2 linked regions of the Arabidopsis thaliana genome follow. The protein of the gene in region 1 purifies or fractionates together with the protein of each later gene. This does not show direct contact. Each region holds a gene or a part of one and is shown in the gene's direction. Other genes may lie near its edges.

Region 1 (4,282 bases):
TTAAATTTTTCTAATATCATTGTCATGTAATTAATTACAAAAATTAAGGTTACATTTCAAATGTACTTTCCAAAATAATATAATAGGATTTCTTTGGGTACAAGGTGACCAATGATCATCTAGAATCCCGCAACCGTCAAAATCACAAGTTTTAGCGTAAACAGTTTATGGATTGTTTGACTTTAATAATTGGACAAATGTTGTAAACAATAATCACTACTACGTGTTTTAACGTTAGGTTGGGCATTTTTCAAGTAACAATGAAACTAATTTATTTATTTTGGTAGGGATAAAACAAAATTTAATGCAATGTTCAATATGTATTAGTATTGTTTTTGATCGAGTACTAAAATTCTGTAATTCGTTCACTTAATTTAAAGGTATAGAATCATAAAACGATAATTATTTTTGGTAAACAAAACTATTAGTCAAAAGTCAAAACTGACATTTAATTTGAATTGAAACCAAGGAAATAAACTAATTTTATTTAAATTATGTTATTAAATCTTTAAAAATCATCTGATAATTACATGAAGGAAGCTTGGTCAGCCATAAGAAGAATAACAACTTTTTTCCTTTTTTTTTTGTTTTGTTAATCCGTTAGTATATAAACAACAGTATTCCTAGTTTCTTTCACCGACTCTTCTAATCTCTGCGATCGTACATCAGAAACCTCTATCTCATCGCCGAGGTAAATCTTTCAGACGCTGTCCCTTCTCGTAAAAATCGAAACTTTGAATCAAATCTACGTGAAATTTTTGTATTTCTCTGCATGTTTGATCAATTCTATATGAAACCGCGTTTAAGGGTTTTAGAGTTTTTCATCTCATTCGTTAATTTCATTGCATGTGTGCAGGAAAAAAGATCTTACAATGGCTATTAACACCATCACGAACGAAGAAGATGATGCATCAAACAACTTTGGATGCAATATCTGTCTTGAATTGGCAAGAGAACCGATCGTGACTCTATGTGGTCATTTGTTCTGTTGGCCTTGTCTCTACAAGTGGCTCCATTACCATTCTAAATCAAATCATTGTCCTGTTTGTAAAGCTTTGGTTAAGGAAGATACTTTGGTTCCTTTGTATGGAATGGGTAAGCCATCTTCTGATCCGAGATCGAAACTCAATAGTGGTGTTACTGTCCCTAATCGACCAGCTGCGACTAGGACTGAAACAGCTCGACCTCGTCTTGAACAAAGACATCATGGGTCTAGTTTCTTTGGTGGGCATTCAAGTTTTGCTGCCATGCCAACTGGTTTACGGTTTTCAAATTTCTTGTTGTAATGGAAAGTATCTTTTGATGAATCTGAGTCTGTTTTTTTGACAATGTTTTTGAAACTATTATTATACATTGTCTACGATTTTTGTTATTTTGACAATTAATGTTTAGAGCTACTTTTACATTCTTATAAAAAATTTGCATCTGCTTGTAATATTTGATTCTCCAATCTTCCGCTTTGTGAAAAATCGTCATAAGCTTGTTCTCGTGCTACATCTGCAGATTGATCAACATGAATGCTGATTATAGTATATGATCCTTAATATATGATTATCGCACAGATGAATTTAAAGCTTCACATTTAATCGTGTAATTTGGAGTAGATGGCAAAAGAACATGGAAATTAACTAAATGACAATGATGTGATGTAAATTTTTGTTTTGACCATTTTGTTTTTGTTAACATATGTAACGAATCTACACAGAGTATTTGTGTTTTCAAGCTCCTTGTTAAGCCCAATGAAGGTTTTTAATGGGCTCTAATGGGCCGATTCAATAAGTTGGAAAGCTCATGAAGCGAGAGGGACCGTGCCTAATCTCATCTTCACTCTGCTCGTTATCTTCTTCCTTTTTACCTGTTCAACGAAACTCCTGAGCTCAGCTTCACTTTGCTCGACGTTATCTTCTTCGTTCAGCGACAATGGCGTCGATTACGAACCTCGCCTCTTCTCTCTCTTCACTCTCGTTCTCCTCCCAAGTTTCTCAAAGACCTAACACCATTTCCTTCCCCCGCGCGAATTCAGTATTCGCATTACCGGCGAAATCCGCACGCCGCGCTTCTCTATCTATCACCGCCACGGTATCTGCTCCACCGGAGGAGGAGGAGATAGTTGAACTGAAGAAATACGTCAAATCGAGGCTTCCCGGAGGATTTGCTGCTCAGAAGATTATTGGCACTGGACGACGTAAGTGCGCAATCGCTAGAGTTGTTCTTCAGGAAGGTACTGGGAAGGTTATCATCAACTATCGTGATGCCAAGGTAAATTTATTTCTAATTTCATTATCTTATTGGCTTTTACACTGTTGCTTAGTCGCTTGATGTGTTTGCTTAGGCCTTGAATTTGGAGTTTATACAGCTGAGAATTGACTACTCATATGAGATTAAGATTTGAACTTGAAATTGGTATTTTAACAGCTAAAGCTATGAAAGCAGTCCACTTACCCCCGTTTGAACATATTCTTGGTTTATATGAATATCTGATACCTGCAAGAGACTGACATCATGCATAGTGTGTAATCGATTGAAGCATTTAGTAGTATAAATTGTAGCAGTTTGTAGGAGAGAAAGTCTTGACCTTTATGAAGATATTCTCTGTTATGTAGGGTATACTAGTCTTGTGATCAAACTGTATCTTTATGTACTTCTTTTTGATAGATGAGTTATATCAGCGCGTTACAGATTAAGTTGAAACTGGAAGAACTCTCTGAACAAATAGTTTATATGATGAATTCTAGGCTATTTAGACTTTAGACTAGGATAAGTGGCTGAGAAAGTGATCAAACTGTATCGGTATTAGTCTTGTGATCAGACGTTATCTGTATGTAGTTCTTTGTGACCTGGGAGCTGCATCAGCACGTTATAGATTAAGGTGAAACTGGAAGAAATTTCTGAACAAATAGTTCATATGATAAATTCTAGGCTGTTTAGACTTAGGATAAGTGGCTGAGAAAGTGTTAACAAGGAGAGATTATGATAAAAGTTTGGGGGGTTTTGACAAGCTGTTTTGTTGTGAATGGGAAAGATTTGAATCCATACGTATATTGCTGATGATGATCATTGTAAACCTTTTTCAGGAGTACCTTCAGGGAAATCCATTGTGGCTTCAGTATGTTAAAGTACCATTGGTGACTTTAGGATATGAGAATAGCTACGACATATTTGTGAAAGCCCATGGAGGCGGTCTCTCAGGTCAAGCTCAAGCAATTACCTTGGGAGTCGCACGTGCACTCCTGAAGGTAAGTGCAGACCACAGATCGCCTTTGAAGAAGGAAGGTTTGCTCACTAGAGATGCGAGAGTGGTTGAAAGAAAGAAGGCCGGGCTCAAGAAGGCGCGTAAAGCCCCACAATTCTCCAAGCGTTAAGAGTTTTACATATCATTGGATCAACTCTTCAAGTAGACTCCTCTGCCTCCATTTTTTTTAAAAACTTTTCTTGTCTATTATCGGTCTTTTGTTTCATGTTAATGTTTATGTGTAGACGAACTAATACAATCTCTGTTTTGTTTGAATGGAACGCAAAGTTGATATGCTTTTGTAACAAATGCACTTATGAATTGTGATCAGACAAATGCACTTCTGAATCGTTTATCAGTTAGATTTCAGGTGAAAGTGAAAACTTTGCTTCTTTCAAAAGGTGTTCATGGATAGTGGATAAGCAGCAATACCTGAACACACTTGTATCACTTTGTGTATCTATCTAATTCCTTTGATATTGAAGTAGTAATGTTGATTTTGATGGGCTCATACCGAACGAATCAGAAATCGACAAGTGTGAGATAGTATGTATGTGTGCATAAAATAGGCTGGTTTAGCTGGGAATGGTGATGCGAAAATGGAATGTTAGGTATGAGAGAGCTTACCCACTTTGACTCTTTCCATGCATATTCGCTTGCTCCCCTCTTTCCTGCTTCCTCTGTTTTCTTTTATTCCATTTCCATCACTTAAAAACAAAACAAAAAACCTGAACTCTTGGGTTGGATTTCAAACCAACATAAACCAATTCTCTAATACAACTTGGTTTGATACAATATTAGAGCTACTTGATGTGTGTAATGTTTCGATCAGTAGGAAAAACAAATCACGTGTATCCTATCAAACTTTTGATTATACACAAGTCAAAAGAGACATTCATTGTGTGAATTTAATGAATTTGAGGGGTCTATTATATTTATTAGTCAGCTTTAACGTATCAAATCCATGACTTTTATCAATGTTTTTTCTTCTTTTCTTTCTGGATCTACTTCCCAATACCATCACCGGACCGGACCACTTGATGATCTTCC
Region 2 (3,927 bases), on another chromosome or scaffold:
CAGGTGTGAAGGCGTTAATTTCAGCTATTGATGGGAGTCTGGAGTCAGTTGAGATGAATGATACTGATGCACAGGAAGCTGCCATTGATGCACTTGGTCAGATGGGATCAAGTAAGTGGGTCACTTTTCTTTGAAACTTTGTTTGTTGCAGTCGTCTTCTAAAAGAGATAGCTAGAGAGGCCATACATTTAGAATTATGAATTATAAGAGCATCCGACAAGATATTCGTTTCCCATGCAATGATCTTGTAACTTATATGGATATTTTTACAATAATCTTAGCAACGAAGGGAGCGGATCTTGTCCTTTCAACTTCACCTCCAGCTGCAAGACATGTTGTAGCTTCTGCCTTTGATCGTAATGCACATGGAAAACAGTTGGTTAGTGTGTTTTTGCTTCTCATCAATTGAAATTCTGCCGATTATATGCTCTTACTACATTTTTGAAGATCCAATTTTTCCAGTTTTAGGATTTCTAATTCTAACTATTGAGGGTTGAAATTTTGCTTCATTAGTAGAGACATTCATGAAATTATATGATTGTTTCGTAAATGGCATGTGCAGGCTGCACTGCATGCACTGGCAAACATCGCAGGTGAAACACGACCTAAGAGCAACAGAATAGTTGATGGAAAAGCTGAAGAAAGCCTTAGATGTTTGATATACGACGCTGCAGCACAGAGCACAAAACTAACCCCATCCGTAAGTTCGTTTCCTCTTTTACTTATTCTTCTCTCAGAAGTGTGCAGATTACATATTTTTGTTTGATCCGTAGCATGAGCTAATTTAAGCATGTCGCACAAATTGCAGGGTTTATTCCTCTCAGTTCTTCAACAAAGCTCAGAGATTCGTCTTGCGGTAAACCTTTAACTCAGCATCTGATCTATCATATCTTCTCCCCCTTTGTTTCTCTAGTTGGAAATTTCAAAATGACACACTACATTTCATTCAAAATTAAGAAATCTCTTTTGTCCTTCTACACAAAACTCGGATACATGTCACTCATTTGATCTCACATAAGACCTTCACGCATTGCCTAGAGGTAACTATGTTTTTTGCTTATAGTATATTGTTTACAATGTTGTTTGCAGGGTTATCGAACGTTAACAGCATTAGTGGCTCGGCCATGGTGCCTGGTGGAAATCTTGGCCAAAGAAGAGATAATAAACATAGTTACGGATGCAACCACTGAAACTGCAAAAATAGGTAAACCAAGTAACATTCCTCGCATCACCCACACTCCAGCCATTGTATTGGCTTCTTCCTCCCTCAACCTCTTTGATCTACGAGTCTAAATCTCATTTTTTTTTTACTCAGCAATGGAAGCAAGGTATAACTGCTGCAAAGCAATTCACGAAGCGTTCTTGTGTAGTAACTTTGTTGATGACCCTCGTCGTCTAAAAACCGGTGACAAGGTTCCATACTTTTCCTCTGCGCTCTTTAAGATGGAAGTTTCGAAAAGGCTTTTCTTTGATGTTGTACTTTTACTTGCTGATGACATGTTTGACATTTGTTGCAGTTGCAAGAAGCTGTTCGAAGTGGACCATATATGTCGAAGAAGCACAGAGGCGCACGACCAGAAGTAATGACAGGCGAAGGATTTTAAAGACAACTAAAGAAAAAAAGTTAAAACTTCTTTGTTAACCAAAGTTTTTTATATCTTCTCTGGCTGTTCGATAAGTAAACTTTAGTTCTTTCTATAAACAACGAAGGCTAGGAGTAAACGTTTTGGCGGTTGAAATTTGTGTTCTTTAATTTTTAGTGTTGAACTTAATCAAAGAAAAAAAGGAATAACGAGTTTGGTCCGTTTCTCATCGTTTGCCATTAGCCCACGCGGGAGATCCAAAACACTGGGCTAAACTGGAGTTAAGACGATAAACCAAGGGTAATATAGTAATTGCGTTTCCAGACATCATCTCTTCCTTTATGGATAACACTGGTTCGAAATGGAGCCATTACTCTTTACTAACAGAGGGAGAAAGAGCAGAGAAGAGAGAAGAGGAAGCTTGTAGAAATCGATGGCGACGATAGTGCAGTGTCTTTCTTCCTGTGCGACCCTCGAATCCCAATTCAAAGTCCTTTCGCTTAAGGGAATCTCTTGTTCGTCACCATCTTCTTCCTTCTCCAATCGTCGTGGTGCTTCGGCTACCTTATCCTCTTCCCTTAGCTTCTCTCAGAGCGTTTCTCAATGCGTCGCCTTCTCAACCGGTAAACCCTACTTCAGAATCGTGAATTTCATCCTGGTCATGGAGAATTATTGAAATGTTATCGGCATTTTGAATCCATTCGTTTTCTTATGCTTTCGCTAGTGTCAAAATTTTAGGGGTTTTGGAACTGAAATATACATGTTTGGACAGGGAATTTGTGGGTACAGAAGCCAATGAGGCAATTGATTGTGTGTGAGGCTGCTGCTCCTACCAAGAAAGCTGATTCAGCTGCAAAGAGAGCTCGCCAAGCTGAGAAGAGGCGTGTTTACAACAAATCTAAGAAATCTGAAGCCCGTACCCGGATGAAGAAGGTAATGTTGTAAACTTCATACTTTCTGTGAAAATATGTTGGAGTGCTTTTGAAAATTTGAGCTTCTGTTTGAAGATAGGATACAAGATTGTTGATAAGCTTGTAATGCTGTTCCTCTGAAGTCTTAGTGATAAGTTAGGTGGAAATATATCAGGGAATGTTTCTCCTTGTGAATTCTTGTAGCAACCTATGAACAACACTGAACATTGGAATCCAAGTAGGTGGATTAGTTATCATTGTTTGCAACCGATTTATCGAAAAATGGAACTCAAGTGGAAGCTGTTGAGACGGTTTCATGTTGTTATTAGAACTTGGGAGAACTTTAAAAGTCTTGATAGTTTAGAACATCTCATTATCCTCGACAACTAAGACTTATAAATGTTGTAAGTAACTTTTTTACATACATGCAAGATGAGAGTAAAATTCATTTGAGTAAACAGGTCTTGGAAGCACTTGAGGGGCTCAAGAAGAAAACTGATGCGCAAGCTGATGAGATTGTGACGGTGGAGAAACTGATAGGAGAGGCTTATTCTGCAATTGACAAAGCAGTGAAGGTTAAAGCACTACACAAGAACACTGGTGCCCGTAGGAAGTCTCGATTGGCTAGGAGGAAAAAAGCCGTTGAAATTCACCATGGTTGGTACGTCCCAGACGCAGCTGCTGCAGCACCATCAGAAGCTGTGCCCATGGCTGCATAAGAACATGGGGATAACGGAAATTTGTTTTTGTTACTAGATCTTTCAAAATCAAAATCTGTTTCTTTATAATGTACATTTAGTCGCTTTCAGACTCTTCGCTTGTTAAGTTCGATCTAAGCATTTTGTCTTCTACTCTTGGCTTGGTCTTGTTCTGGTTCAGTAACATCTCAGTTCTTGGCTCTGGTACCATTCCTTTTGACATCATCTCTTGAAAGTAACTCAATGCTTCTCCAATTTTCCCCTTTGTGTGCAGACCATGAATCCTAATAGTATATGTTCTCTGATCTGGTCCTAATCCACTTCTCTCCATCTCACTCCATATCTCTCTCACTTTCTCTTCCTTGTCCCATTGCACATATAACCTAAACATCAAATTGTACAAATCGCTTGTCATTTCACACTTGTTCTTTGCCATCCTTTCCAAAACTATGTCAACATCCTTCGATCTCTGCGAATACTTGAGCAAGTAACTGAATGTCACATCGTTAGGCGAACAACTACCACCTTTAAGTTCCATCTCTTCCACTAGCTCCCAAACTTTCTCAGTTCTCCTTATCTTGCAGAGATGCTTCAAAAGTGAGTTATACGTCACAACATTCGGGTCGGGACCTTTCTCACTAATCTCCCTGAATACTTCAAGAGCCTCAGGGATTCTCTTCTTGAAACACAAAGCATCAATAACGTTATTGCAGATTTTAACATCCGGGTTTCTTC

What was found. The genes of interacting proteins can lie anywhere in the genome.
Region 2: the proteins of RPS9 (region 1) and PRPS20 fractionate together in Arabidopsis thaliana (co-fractionation; one large-scale study listed by BioGRID). This does not show direct contact.

Annotation. Positions count from the first base shown.
Region 1 is NC_003070.9:28,156,841-28,161,122, reverse strand, and holds RPS9 (ribosomal protein S9), read left to right. Parts: upstream 1-1,805; 5' UTR 1,806-1,920; coding exon 1,921-2,259; intron 2,260-3,074; coding exon 3,075-3,362; 3' UTR 3,363-3,737; downstream 3,738-4,282. Other genes in the region: AT1G74990 (RING/U-box superfamily protein), read left to right, coding at 873-1,286. UniProt on the Arabidopsis thaliana protein: Binds directly to 16S ribosomal RNA.
Region 2 is NC_003074.8:5,114,200-5,118,126, forward strand, and holds PRPS20 (chloroplast 30S ribosomal protein S20), read left to right. Parts: upstream 1-1,821; 5' UTR 1,822-2,016; coding exon 2,017-2,206; intron 2,207-2,355; coding exon 2,356-2,516; exon of another isoform or gene 2,517-2,955; coding exon 2,956-3,213; 3' UTR 3,214-3,289; downstream 3,290-3,927. Other genes in the region: AT3G15180 (ARM repeat superfamily protein), read left to right, coding at 4-111, 282-379, 563-700, 809-856, 1,090-1,204, 1,316-1,413, 1,518-1,604; AT3G15200 (Tetratricopeptide repeat (TPR)-like superfamily protein), read right to left, coding at 3,290-3,927.